Linked DNA regions of Stegostoma tigrinum. The protein of the gene in region 1 interacts with the protein of each later gene in a pairwise test. Links are inferred from orthologs where the notes say so. Each region holds a gene or a part of one and is shown in the gene's direction. Other genes may lie near its edges.

What was found.
Region 2: the proteins of ankrd13a (region 1) and dihydropteridine reductase-like interact in a two-hybrid assay, tested with the Homo sapiens proteins (2 studies listed by BioGRID). The two-hybrid records come from large-scale screens. The link is inferred for Stegostoma tigrinum from reciprocal best matches to the Homo sapiens genes ANKRD13A and QDPR.

What each region holds. Positions count from the first base shown.
Region 1 is NC_081379.1:12,953,738-12,961,119, forward strand, and holds the start of ankrd13a (ankyrin repeat domain-containing protein 13A), read left to right. Parts: upstream 1-4,357; 5' UTR 4,358-4,541; exon of another isoform or gene 4,542-4,688; intron 4,689-4,755; exon of another isoform or gene 4,756-4,907; 5' UTR 4,908-4,961; coding exon 4,962-5,054; intron 5,055-7,382. Other genes in the region: ARF GTPase-activating protein GIT2a, read right to left, coding at 4,049-4,100. UniProt on the Homo sapiens protein: Ubiquitin-binding protein that specifically recognizes and binds 'Lys-63'-linked ubiquitin. Does not bind 'Lys-48'-linked ubiquitin.
Region 2 is NC_081354.1:83,357,873-83,364,973, reverse strand, and holds the start of dihydropteridine reductase-like, read left to right. Parts: upstream 1-4,100; 5' UTR 4,101-4,229; coding exon 4,230-4,316; intron 4,317-4,609; coding exon 4,610-4,702; intron 4,703-4,849; coding exon 4,850-4,946; intron 4,947-5,522; coding exon 5,523-5,663; intron 5,664-7,101. UniProt on the Homo sapiens protein: Catalyzes the conversion of quinonoid dihydrobiopterin into tetrahydrobiopterin.

The sequences.
Region 1 (7,382 bases):
CTGGGCTGGATTTGGGATGCAGTGGGTGGACCTGCCTCCCGAACGTGTTCTTCCTCTCACCTCAAGCCACACCTCCATTCCCTACCTCCTAATCTCATCCCACCCCCTTGACCTGTCCATCCTCCCTACCTCCCCACCGATACTCACCTCTACAGTCTCCATTCCCGCTCCTTTAACTTGTCTGTCTCCTCTCCGTATCTTCGATCTGCCTCTCCCTCTCTCCCTTTTTATTTCAGAACCCTCTCCCCATCCCCCTTTTCTGATCAAGGGTCTACGCCCGAAACGTCAGCTTGTGTGCTCCTAAGAAACTGCTTGGCCTGCTGTGTTCATCTAACTCCACACTTTGTTATCTCAGATTCTCCAGCATCTGCAGTTCCCATTATCTCTGATATAACATCAGTGGTAAGTCAGTTTCCAACAAAAAGTTCAGAGATTGCAAGAACCTCAAGATACTGCAGCTAGCGACAACAGTGAGGAGCTGGAGGAACACTGCAAGCCAGGCAGTATCAGAGAAGCAGGAAAGTTGATGATTCAAATTGTGACTGAAGAAGGATCCTGACATGAAACGTCAACTTTCAAGCTCCTCTGATGCTGCCTGGCCTGCAGTGTTCCTCCAGCTCCACACTGTACTGTAGCCAACAACCAGCTTTTGTGGACCTCAGATACTTACTACATTTTTGACCACAATTTGGAAGAAGAGCAGTTAATAACCATTGCTTAATCCCTTGAATTGTGAAAAGAGCCATGATATGAAAAGTTCACATGGTCATAACTATTTATTGAAATCCAAGTGAAACACTGGAGAAACAAACCACAGCAAGTTTAAGTCCAACATCAGAGCCTCAGCATATATTAAGACTAAAACTGCAGTACTGAAGGAGTGCAGCAATGGCACATGGCGTCCTTCCGTAAATTTTAGAAAGGAGGTCCAACTATTTGCTCACTTGAATGTCAAAACCCCGTGTCCTGGTTAATCCCAAGAATCCACACCACAGATTACCTGGCCATCATCACATGCTGTAGCACAGAGCTGACAGAGCACAAATTGATTGCTTTAGTTCCAAAATTACAGTGACTACATCATTCATTGGTTCTAAAGTGATGTGTGACAGTCATCAGGAAAAATACAACATAAATGCAAGATTTCTAAAACATGGTTGCCATTTTGGAGAAGAAATTGACTTGCTGTGTAGGCGAACAATGTAGGTAAAGTTAAATTCAGTCAAGGCATCTTAAACTTTTTGTTGAAAGTAGGCTTATATTTATGTAGAGTTTAGTTTTAAAGAATTAAAGATAAACACTATAAGGTATCTATGGACATTGGGACAGTTAATAGGGAGGCAATAAGCAATACAATCATAAAAGAGCAGTTTTCAGGAGACTTTCAGAAAGGTTACAAATGACTATGATCATAAAGCTGTACAGCATGTCCAACTCGGCCATGCCGTCCAGATATCCTAAATGAATCTGTTCCCATTTGCAGGCACTTGGCCCATATCCCTCTAAATCCATCCTATTTATATAACTATCCTGATGCCTCTTAGAAGTTGTAACTGTACCTGCCTCCACCACTTCCTCTGACAGGTCATTCCATGTATGCACCATTATCTGTGTGGAAAAGCTGCCCCTTAGGACCTTTTAAGTCTTTCCCCTTTCACCTTAAACCTATGCCCTCTAGTTTTGGACTCCCCTGCCCCAGGGAAAAGACCTTGACTATTCAACCTATCCATGCCCCTCATGATTTTACAAACCTCTATAAGGTCACTTCTCAGTCTCTGATGCTCCCAGGAAAATAGCCCCAGCCTATTCAGCCTCCCCCAACAGTTCAAACCGTCCATGCCTGGCAATATCCTTGTAAATCTTTTCTGAACCCTTTCAAGTTATACAAAATCCTTCCTATAGCAAGGAGACCAGAACTGAATGCAGTATTCCAGAAGTGGCCTAAGCAATGTCCTGTACAGCCGCAACATGACATCCCAACTCCTAATCTCAACGCACTGACCAATTGTAAAGACGTTTAGCCGAATGCACTGATTTCACATGAAAACGTGTTGCATACACTTTCAACTGAAACTTAGAAGGTAAAATCAATCTCTCTCCTTTGGTTAGTGTAGATTAACAATTCAAATGTAAGTCACATAAACATAAGAAAAACAGAAGTACATTTAAAAATAATAACCACATAAAATATAACACATTGTTATTGATAAGATCTTCATCGATTCATCTTTCTCCTTCAGCTGCTGGCTGGGCTGGCATGCTTTTTCAGCTTCTGTCATTTCACATTTCCAACATTCAGAGCATACTTTACTTGGAGATCTGGCATGGCCATATCATAGAACAACAATCTGCACTTACATATTGCATTTAATGTAATAAAAGGTCCCATGGTGCTTCACAACAAAATTTGACCAGACGTAGTACTAGGGCAGCTAGTGAATAGCTTGGTCAAAGAGATAGACTTTGCAGGCCACCTTCAAGGAGAAAGAAATAGAAGCAAGATTTGGGAAGGAATTTGAAAACTTAAGTGCCTTAGTAAAGGAAAGCAGAGTCAATAATGGCGCAGCAATTAAAATTGAAGATGCTTGAGGAGAAAATAAAATGAATGCAGTCTTCATGGAGGGCTGTGCATCAGAAGGGCATTAGACAGATATAGATGGGCAAAGACAAGGATAAAAAATTTAAAATTGAAATGTTGCTTGACTGGGAAACATTGTAGGTCAGCAAACATAGATGTGATCGTTAAACAGGACCCAAACAGGAGTAAGAACCTTGGGCAGCAGAGTTTTAGATAAACTTGAGTTTAGGGGGGTGTACAATATAGGAGGCAGAAATGCATTTGAACAGACCAGTCTTCAGTTAACAAGGGCATACAAGGGTCTCAGAAGTATTTAAATAAAAACAGGAACAAACCTAGCAATGTTTTGGAAGTGCAAACTCATTCTTAGCAAGGTGGTGGAAAAATATTTAAAGCTCATCTTGGAGTCAAATATGACACAGAGGCTCACGTAGTTTTCAAGGAGATATGGAGTCTGTAAACTAGGGAACAGTTTGCAGCAGGGAGCAAAGAAAATTACTTCTAAAATTCAGCGTGCAACAATTCTTCCATATTCTACCTTATTACTCAATGCTATGCATCATTATAGACCTAAAAGCAATTGCAAAATATTAGCTGCTCTCTACAAGTTACAATATTAAGTTCTGTAATTGTAAAGTCTTGACAAAGCTATCACAAGTTAACATACTACCAGCACAAAAATTACACTGCAATTGCTGAGGAAAAAAATGCTGTACCCTATTATAATGAAAATTACATCACTACAAAATAAATTGTTGAATTTCTAACTCATAAAAAATTACTCCATGTACAAAGAAACATTGAAGCAGCCATTGTACAAGGGATCACTGTAAATGCTGCTCCATTTAGAGGAATCCTCACCCACCAAAAAAAACACCAACTACAGAAGAAAAAGAATTGTCAAGTTTACAGAAAAATAAGTACAAATGAGCAAGTGAATAACAGAAGAGATATGCACAAAATCTACAAGTGGATGCATACAGTAAACTGTATTAACTCCGACAAGCAAACAGTAATACGGCATACTAATCAGTCTATGAAAGATTAGAACCCACAGCTTTAATATAAAAAATTGGTTAACAAACTAAAACTTGAATTGTGCAGACGGGATAGAGGCCACAAGTTTGAGGAAGTGGGTGCTACGAATGATTTTTATGCTGAAAATGTGCTGCTTTTTTTATAAAGAGAAAGGAAGAGCACGGTTGAAGGGAGTGGAATGAAAGAACACAAACCGGTTGCTGGATATTTCCTGGCTGCGTCCTAGTTGGCTTGCAGCGTTTCTGCATCTTTTAGCTCTCTCTCACTTCCTCCGTGTCTGTGCGCGTGTGTCAGACAGAACTGAAGCTTGTTTGAATTTCCTCTCCCAGTCCCAGTTAGCAGCACGATAAGTCTCAGCATTTTTAAACAAAAAGCATTTCTAAAGGGCCCTTCTTTTGCCCCCAGACCTTTACCTCCCCCACAATCACTTACCGGGGACGCTGCAGTCGGCGCAGATGTCGTTACTCCTCAATCTTTTCGACATGGACAGAGGCAGTTAACTAATAATGCCGTTTAATCGGGATCTTAAATAAAAACAAAAATCACACGACACACGCTAAAATTTAACGGGAGACGCGTTTTAATTCTAACTACAAACTGCCGTCAACATGAAGTTTGCACTCAGGTTACAGTTCCTGTCAGACTCGCCTCTGGCTCAAGCAGCTTGGAGACGTCGAATGGTATGCCGGGATCTTGGAGGACTGCCCGGGCGTCACGCATGCGTATACAAGCCAAACCAAACGCAGGCGTCGGAAGACGAGGAGCGCGAGGGGGGGAAAGCTGAAGTTATAAAAATGTGGTTTCCTGAACAGAAACTTTTCACACATTACTTTTCCCCCTTGCAAAATATTTTTTAATGTTACCAAATGCGACATCATGTTGAATGGAACATGTAGACCTGTCACTTTATTCGTGAGCCGAGAAAGTAATCAGCTAGTGTTTACCTGCCGATCCACTCGATACTTTAGTTTGGGCTGAACCACAATTAAAGGGAAGAGGAGGGGGGTTCCTGTAGTGTCGAAAATGGTTGATAGTGGAAAAAAGTGAAGCAAAGCATCAAGTCGTTCGACAAGTAATAATTTCACTATATCACTCTTATAAGCATACAGATCAGCAAATATGCCGACATTTATTGAAAAGGGTGCTAGTGTGCTTATTATAGACCCCTCCTCTAGGCTGGATGGATTGTATTTCCTTGTTGTCCATCTCTTCCTGTAAAGTTTTTTTGGAAAGTTTCAGAAGTTCTGTTGTTTTCTCTCCTCACCCTCCCGCTGTCCTCTTTTCACTTTAGAGGGAGGGGTTTATAGAGGAAAGGGCGGAGGTCGATTGAAGCTGAAGAACTAGGATGTGTTCATTGGAAGACGTCAAGAACAAATATAAACTTCACCTGTTGGTCTGGCGCAACCAGTATAGAGAAGTTGAGGAAGAACTGAAACAAGTAAGTCACTGATACTGGGCAAGGTTTTATTCAGCGTATGATTGCGCTTAGAAACGGTTTAAACTTCACAGTAGGTGGTGGAGAGCTTCCCTGAGATGATGTTTATAGGTGAAGATATTTAAAGTCTGTTACTGCTTTGAAGATCTAATTTTCTTCAGCCGAAAGAATCCAAAATCTTCACTAGTTCCAAAGCAACGTGTTTCCCCTTTCAGTTTAGTTAAATGGTTGAAATAGGGCGTGTTGTAAATGTTCCAAGGTATTCACACAGTTAATTTTAAACATTATTTAGTTGGAATCTTTTGAGGCTACCATAAGTGCAAAAAAACTCAAGGCAAAACTGAAAGAACTACTGTTTCCTCAAGTTAAATTGTTTAAGTTGGATTGGAATTTTTCAATATCTGATTTCAAGATTGGAGATGATTAGTTGATATGTGAGACCGACAGTTACCCTTGTCTTGATTTAATATAAAATATAGTTTTTTTCACAACAGGAAAGATGATGCACTGTTCGAGAGAGGAGCAAACTTGATAGTTTGAATTACCTTTACTCAATTTACATTGCATTATCTTGTCACTAAATAAATCTTTATAATTTTTATGCTTTATATATACTTTACAATGGTCAGAGTGAAGTGGGAAGGAAGAACAGTCACTAAAGTTGTAAGTTCCCTTCACCATGAGGACTGACATTTATAATTAGTTCTACTATATTATAATGTGACACCTATTTGTTACTGAAACAGATGGCAGAGTTTGCAAGTATAATTTCTTTTTAAATGTGTGCAATTGGTACTTCTGTATATTGTCTTATTAAAGATTATTTTATTATGACAATATACAAAAACATTAAATGATACATTTTTTCCTAATTTAGGCAGAGTAAAAGCTAGGGAATGTGTATTTCCTTTCTTGGTGGCGGTGGGGGGGAAATCAACACTTAAGGGGTCAAATCTGCATTTGCACGATTGTTTTGTTTCCCACAAATTTTCCCCATTCTAACTTTCCTTGGCCCTTTCAATAACTGGAGGGTTGAGGAATCAGTCCAAATTTGCAGTGAAGGCACTGAAGGAGAATATACTTTTTTGGTTTCACCATTTTTCCCCAGCTCTATCAGAAGGCACTGACAACTTCAACCTTTAGTTGAGAATTATACGGCATAGGGGGAGGCTGTTTCACCATCACACCCTTGCCAGCTTCCTGAAAGAGCTTTTAATGTTTTAGTACCCTGGATGTCATCGGCATTCCTGCAACGTTATTTTTCCTCCTTCAATTCTTTTTGGAAAGTTACTTTTGAATCTCTTCCACCATCCTTTCAAGCAGTGTGCCATGGATTATTACAACTTGTTGCATTTAGTAAAAAACTTTAAATCTCCTTTGGTTCATTTGCCAGATATATTAAATTTCAAACATGCCATTGGCATAAGAACTAGAATCAGGAGTAGACCATCTGGCCCCTCAAGCATGCCCTGCCATTTAATAAGATCATGGCTGATCTTTGAGACTCAGCTCTACTTACCTGCCCACTCACCATGACCCTTAATTCCTTTACATTTCAAAATTTTATCTAGCCTTGCCTGAAAAGCATTCAGCAAGGTGGCTTCAACCACTTCACTGGGCAGGGAATTCCACAGATTCACAACCCTTTGGGTGAAGAAGTTCCTCCTGACCTCAGTCCTACATCTGCTTCCCTTTATTTTGAGGCGATGCCCTCCAGTCCTAGTTTCACCTGCTAGCAGAAACAACCTCCCTGCCTCCACTTATATCTATTCCCTTCATAATCTTATATGTTTCTATAAGATCGCCCCTCGTTCTTCTGAATTCCACTGAGTATAATCCCAGTCTACTCAGTCTTTCCACATAATCCAACCCCCTCAACTCTGGAATCAACCAAGGGAATCTCCTCTGCACCCCCTCCAGTGCTAGTATATCCCTTCTCGAGTAAGGAGACCAAAACTGCACACAGTACTCCAGTTGTGGCCTCACCAGGACCCTATACAGCTGCAGCATAGCCTCTGTTTTTAAACTCCATCCCTTGAGCAATGACCAGACAAAATTCCATTTGCCTTTTTAATCACCTGCTGCACCTGCAATCCCACCTACAGCGATTTATGCACAAGGACACCCAAGTCCCTGTGCACAGCAGCGTGCTGCAATTTTTTACCATTTAAAAAGTAGCCCATTTTGCTGTTATTCTTACCAAAATGGATGACCTCACACTTATAAACATTGTACTCCATCTGCCAGACCTTTGCCCCCTCACTTCGACTATCCATATCCCTCTGTAGACTGTCTTCTGCACACTTTTCTCTACCACTCACTTTAGTGGCA
Region 2 (7,101 bases), on another chromosome or scaffold:
TCTCCTTCCTGCTCACATCATTAACTACGATTCCAAGGCACCACTCTCTCACAGAGGCAGACCTCCCAGATTCTTCCAACATGTAACACATTTGCAACACGCTGGCTCAGCTAGTAGCATTGCTGCCTCACAGCGCCAGGGACCTGGGTTCGATTCCATCCTCGGGCGACTGTATGGGTGGAGTTTACATATTCTCCCCATGGCCTGCATTGGGTTTCCTCCAGATGCTTTGCTTTCCTCCCACAGTCCAAAGATATGCAGGTTAGGTGGATTGGCCATGCTAAATTGCCTGTAGTGTCCAGGGGTGTGTAAGTTAGATGGATTAGACAGGGTATAGGGAAAGGATAGAAGAATGGGTCTGGGTGGGATGCTGTGGACTTGTTGGGCCTAATGGCCTGTTTCCACACCGTAGGAATTCTATGATTTAAACCCCAGCTGTGCACCATTTTAAACACTGTAATCCAGGAACTGCCCTTCATGTGTTGCTGTACAAATGCAAAGATCATGCTGAATGAGCCAATTTGGCACCACAATTCTGTGACAAGGACCTGAAGTTCTGGTGGCCTGGTTGTTGGAGACCATGGCTGTATTCTTTATTTAGGACAGGTGAAAGAGACCAAGGCACCAAATTATGCTAGACTAATTAAAGTAGGCCAGTTGGGTTACTGCGGTATCCATGATCTGGAGGAATGCCAGCAATGCTGCAAGAGTTTATCTGAACTTGGAATTAATATTTTATCAAAAGAAATTGAAACTATTTAACCCAAACAAAAACCTCTGTTTTGGTTTACATCTGTAAGGAGATGAGAGAAATGACCTGATGTTACCAAGCTTGAAAAACGATGAACCCCACTTTCAAATATACAAACCAGATTGTCTTTCAGTATGTGTCCTTGACAGAGCATAAGAGATGGATTTGTGACTGCAGAACTAGAGAAAGTTCTCTCTTGATGTTCTGAAAAGGAAAAGTGCCCAGTGATACAAATGATTAAAAAGAAATGTCAGAACAGTGAGAATTCAGATATTTGCTGTTGATGAAGATAAAAGATAGTGATTAAACAACTACGGTTTCAGGTTAAATTCTTATACCCAAGGACCCGCTAAAGACTGCAAAGTTTTCTTTTGTAAATCTTCCTTTTGTACTGAGCCCTATCTCTTCTTAACTTTGCATTTCTGTCTATCTATGTTTGATTTTGCATTTCTTTGTTATTTTTCTCAAGGTTAGCATATTATAATATTGCAGCTTCTTTCACTCATGAAAACACTGTAGTTGGCTCCTTATCAGTACAGTAGATATTGGATAGCTACATTTTGAAAACACACCAACGCTTGACGGACAAGGAGAACCCATGGGTTCTGGAACAGTTGGAATGACTGTAGAGGAGCTGGGCACATTTTGTTTCCACACTGTTTGCAAGTTTGCAGCTTTCATATGGTCCATTTGCTTGTTCAGGACTGATCTACCTACCCAAACTTTGTATATTAGTGGACCTGATGATCATGCCTCTTTCCTATGCAGGTCCATTCCCATGGTTCCTATTACTGAACTTTGTCCCGAAGTAAACTGTCTCTCTCATTTAGCAGAGTCCTGGGTCTGGCATTGACATTCCTAATGTCATTTCACCCTCCCCACCCCTCCAGGTCCAGGAAGATCAGATTTAACCTGGTGCAGAATCTTCTCCCCATTAGCAACTCTGCTGGAGCTATCCTTGTAGTTACATGATGGGTTGCCCTATAATCAAACAGGAACCGACAGAGTTTGGTATCGAGTGAAGCTGTAGGCTGCTTCTGTAAGCTTACCTCCAATGTTTGCACAGCCCTTTCTGCCAGACCATTAGATGATGGAGGGTATGGAGTTTACTTGTACGTCAAATACCACTCGATTTTAGGAAATACTCAAATGCCCACTTGTAAATGCTGGCCTGTTATTTGCGACAACACCTGTAGAGTCCGTGTATTCCAAAAGATGCACGCAGTATTTCTGTCATCATCCCAGTGTTTGATGAATGCACATCCAGCCATTTCGAGTGGGTGTCCACAATGATGAAGAATATTGAATGCATGAAAGGATCTGCATAGTTGAAGTGCAAATGAGTTTACCTGGCCATTCTCACAAATGTCAGGGATTTGCCAGCAGTAATTTTGCCTTTTGTCCTTGTTGGCACTCTGACACTGCCCCACCAATGCAGCTATGTCTGCATCCAGCCCTGGCCACTGAACATAACTTCTTGCTAACATCTTCATTTTGGAAGCCCCTGAATGACTCTTGTGGAGTTCAGCCACAATCTGGCAGGACCTTTGCTTGGGACAATCATTCTTGCTCCCCATAAATAATACGCCAGCCTCTACTGTGACCTGGTTTCTCCAGGTCTAAAAAGATTTCAGCTCTGGTTGTGATGGCCCTTTGCTTCTCACCACACCACCACCCCCGCCTCGCTACCAGTTCATCCTGTTTTGCCAGGACTGGATCCTTCTGTGTCCAAAGTCTGATATTATAGAACATAGAACATTACAGCACAGTACAGGCCTTTCGGCCCTCGATGTTGTGCCGACCTGTCATACCAATCTGAAGTCCATCTAACCTACTCTATTCCATGTACGTCCATATGCTTGTCCAATGGTGACTTAAATGAACTTAAAGTTGGTGAATCTACTACCGTTGCAGGCAACGCGTTCCATTCCCTTACTACTCTCTGAGTAAAGAAATTACCTCTGACATCTGTCCTATATCTTTCACCCCTCAATTTAAAACTATGCCTCCTCGTGCTCGCCATCACCATCCTAGGAAAAAGGTTCTCCCTATCCACCCTATCTAACCCTCTGATTATTTTATATGTCTCAATTAAGTCACCTCTCAACCTTCTTCTCTCTAACGAAAACAGCCTCAAGTACCTCAGCCTTTCCTCATAAGATCTTCCCTCCATTCCAGGCAACATCCCAGTAAATGTCCTCTGCACCCTTCCAAAACTTCCACATCCTCCTTATAATGCGGTGACCAGAACTGTATGCAATACTCCAAGTGCCAGAGTTTTGCACAGCTGCAGCATATTGTCAGCTGTGACTGGAAGTGTGCCCAGAAGACTTAAAACCAGAACGAACTCTTCCAGGGGTTGTACCATCAGTGGTGTATCTGCCAGTGGGAGGCTGCCCAATGCATCTGTGTTTGCTACTTGGCCTCCCAGACAGTGTTCCAATTTGTAATTATATGCAGTTAGCATTTCAGGAGGTTTGGGGTCATAATGTTCCTTAATTAAATCCAACAACCCTTGAAAGGTTTTAGTATCTACTGCCTAAGGAAAAGTTAGGCTCCTTATAACTGGAAAAAATTGCAGATCCACAAACTGTCAGGAGAATTATTCGTTGCTTTTCATCTGCCCCGAAGTAATATTCTTTCCACAGCCTTCAATAGCAGGATCGAACAAATCAAGTTTCCCAAATAACTGCACGATGCCAGAAATGCTTACCCCAACTCAAAAACAAATGCTGCGAGTGAATTTCTACAGGACCGAGCTTTTCACTTGTCACCACTGAAATAACTCCACAGAGGCCGGTATACTGTCACCAAGTCATCCTTTATTTACATGTGGAGTTCATGCCTGACAATCCAGTTCTCATCTGTCAGGCAGGGCTCCCTAATTGGACCATATTAACAGCCCTAATCAGGGAACTCATTCTATGAGAAACACTGCACTCATCTTTTGGTGTACACGGACTCGCAGAGGTGTTTTCGTAAATAACAGGCTGACCTTGTTACAATCACTGCCAACACAATGGAAAACAATGCAGAAACGATAGGAGATTGACAATCAGTCAAAATGCTCAGAGAGCCTTTGCAGATGTCAGGGACTGAATGACCTCCATGTGCATCAACTCAATGAGTTTTAAAAAGGGTGCACTTTTGTTTTATTTAATGGAACTGGGTGAACCCAGGGTATCCTTACAAGTTTATTTAAGCAAGTATCTGTGAGGAGAACAGACAGTGGAAATATGACTTTTTTTTCAGCACAACACTTGTCATCTGGTTAGCCACTTGTTAAAATATGTCTTCGTCTGTAGTGAGACCTCCGGAGGGAGGGTGGTGCTAGAACAAGATATTTCTTCTCTCAGACTGCTTGGACTGTCTATTTTACTGAAGGTTTTGAGCGGATGATTGGAGAAGGCTCGTGGTCAGTTTGAGAAAGAAAGGGGGTTGGGAGCTGATCAGTTTTCCGACAGAGAGAAAAGCAGCAATGGCAGCGGCGCATAGAGTCATCGTGTATGGAGGAAGGGGAGCTTTGGGCACGAAATGTGTTGAGTTTTTTAAATCCAAACACTGGGTAAGTTTCAGCAACGAGGGAACTCGCAGACACACCGGGAGACAATTTATTGGGAGGCGGGTAGTGAAAAGAATGCAGTTCGTCGTTTCAGATCACAACCTATCACTTCGCCATATGTTACAATGAATTAAAGGATAATCGGCGGCGTTCGCACTGCATTAAACACAGTTACGAGTGAAGCTGCGGCTGAGTTCACAAACAGGCCATGACTTTCACGTTATGCCGGAGTTTCATTTCTGTCCGAACCTAAATCACCGTCTCCTTCACTGTCTGATAACTTTTCTCGGTTGCAGTGGGTTGCCTCCATTGATCTCATGTCTAATGAAGAAGCGAATGCAAATATCATCGTGAAAACGAGCGAGTCCTTCACTGAGCAGGCGGAACAGGTAATAATTATTGCAGTGAATGCTGCTGGCAGATCCAGGTAGACGACATTGGACCTTAGTTGTAGCTTTTAATGTCGGGCCTTCCACAGGGCTGGATGAATTAGACATTGGGGATTGACATTTTGCAAATGCCTTGCATTGCCGCAGGTTACCACAGAGGTTGCCAGTCTTCTTGGGGAACAGAAGGTGGATGCCATTATTTGCGTAGCAGGAGGATGGGCTGGTGGCAGTGCAAAGGCAACGTGTAAGTCTATATTGCAGTTTGTTAAAGCTTATGTTCATATTTTATAGTTCTGTAGGCTAAGAAAACTTATGTTATGCTGAGATCTCATGTAGTTGAATGAACGTATGTTGATGAGTTCTATTTTCACAATTACATCTTACAGATTCTTTTAACTGCACACTGCTTTAGTCAGTAATATGGTTTAATCCAAAAATCCCATTTCTAGTAGAGTACTTAAGCAAGGAAACAAGAACTGTTGTATTTATTGACCTTGAGTTGGCATTCTTTGCCCGTGATATGCCATTGGAAATTTTTTCTGCTTAAAACTGACCAATTATAAGCTTTAGCACAGAAAATAATGGTAAATATATTTCATAAATGCTTTTAGATAGTTGATTACAGACATATGTAAATAGAAGTAATCCAGACTTATTTGTTAAGTACCAATAAAGATGAAAAAAATCATTGTAATGATATAAAAATAATTTTATGATGCTCCAAAGATGTGATCTCTTTTTCTCTTTGTTTTGCTGCAGTTTTTCCTTAGTTTATATTGAACATTGGAAATAATCAGTATCTGATATTCATTTTTCAAAGCTCTTTTTAAAAATGCTGAGTTGATGTGGAAACAGAGTGTGTGGACATCAACAATCTCCAGTCATTTAGCTACAAAACATCTGAAAGATGATGGCTTGTTGACACTGACAGGGGCAAGTCCTGCTTTGAAGGGTACAGCAGGTGAGCAAAGTTTCTCCTATTACCCCTTGACGCATAAGCTGACGTCTGTCAGTGTTAGCACTTATACCTGTTCACTGTATTCAATGTAATGAATCTCCTGAAGTGTCATGTGATGCAGTGGCATTGTCTCTGTCTCTGAACCAAAAGATCTGTGATCAAGCTAGCTTAAGTAATTTTCAGGGGACAGATGGGCCAGGTTCACATTTTGCTTTCGAGTCTGGCATGTCACAGAGATGTGTCCTAATGTGTCCAAACAGGTTAGTTTAAAAACAATATATCTGTGCAGTACTGGATGTAATTCCTGAAATTGTTAAAAGAATGGGCTCATATGGACATTGGTAGTGTCCCTACTCCTGGGCCAGAGAGCCTAGTTAAAGGCGCAACTGTCCTGATGATGTCATAACATAGAACATTACAGCACAGTACAGGCCCTTCGGCCCTCGATGTTGTGCTGACCTGTCATACCGATCTCAAGCCCATCTAACCTACACTATTCCATGTATGTCCATATGCTTATCCAATGACGCCTTAAATGTACCTAAAGTTGGTGAATCTACTACCGTTGCAGGCAAAGCATTCCATTCCCTTACTACTCTCTGAGTAAAGAAACTACCTCTGACATCTGACCTATATCTTTCACCCCTCAATTTAAAGCTATGCCTCCTCGTGCTGGCTGTCACCATCCTAGGAAAAAGGCTCTCCCTATCCACCCTATCTAACCCTCTGATTATTTTATATGTTTCATTTAAGTCACCTCTCAACCTTCTTCTCTCTAACGAAAACAGCCTCAAGTCCCTCAGCCTTTCCTCGTAAGACCTTCCCTCCAAACCAGGCAACATCCTAGTAAATCTCCTCCACACCTTTCCAAAGCTTCCACATCCTTCTTATAATGCGGTGACCAGAACTGTACACAATACTCCAAGTGCGGCCACACAAGAGCTTTGTACAGCTTCACCATTACCTCTTGGTTCCAGAACTCGATCCCTCTATTAATAAAAGCTAAAACAGTGTTTGCCTTCTTAACAGCCCTGTCAACCTGGGTGGCAACTTTCAAGGATCTGTGTACATGGACACCGAGATCTCTCTGCTCATCTACACTACCAAGATTCTTACCATTAGCCCAGTGCTTTGCCTTCCGGTTACTCCTGCCAAAGTGCATCACCTCACACTTGTCTGCATTAAACTCTATTTGCCACCTCTCAGCCCAGCTCTGCAGCTTATCTATGTCTCTCTGCAACCTACAGCATCCTTCGTTACTATCCACAACTCCACCGACCTTAGTGTCGTCTGCAAATTTACTAACCCATCCATCTACGCCCTCATCCAGGTAATTTATAAAAATGACAAACAGCAGTGGACCCAACACCGACCCTTGCGGTACACCACTAGTAACTGGTCTCCAGGATGAACATTTCCCATCAACTACCACCCTCTGTCT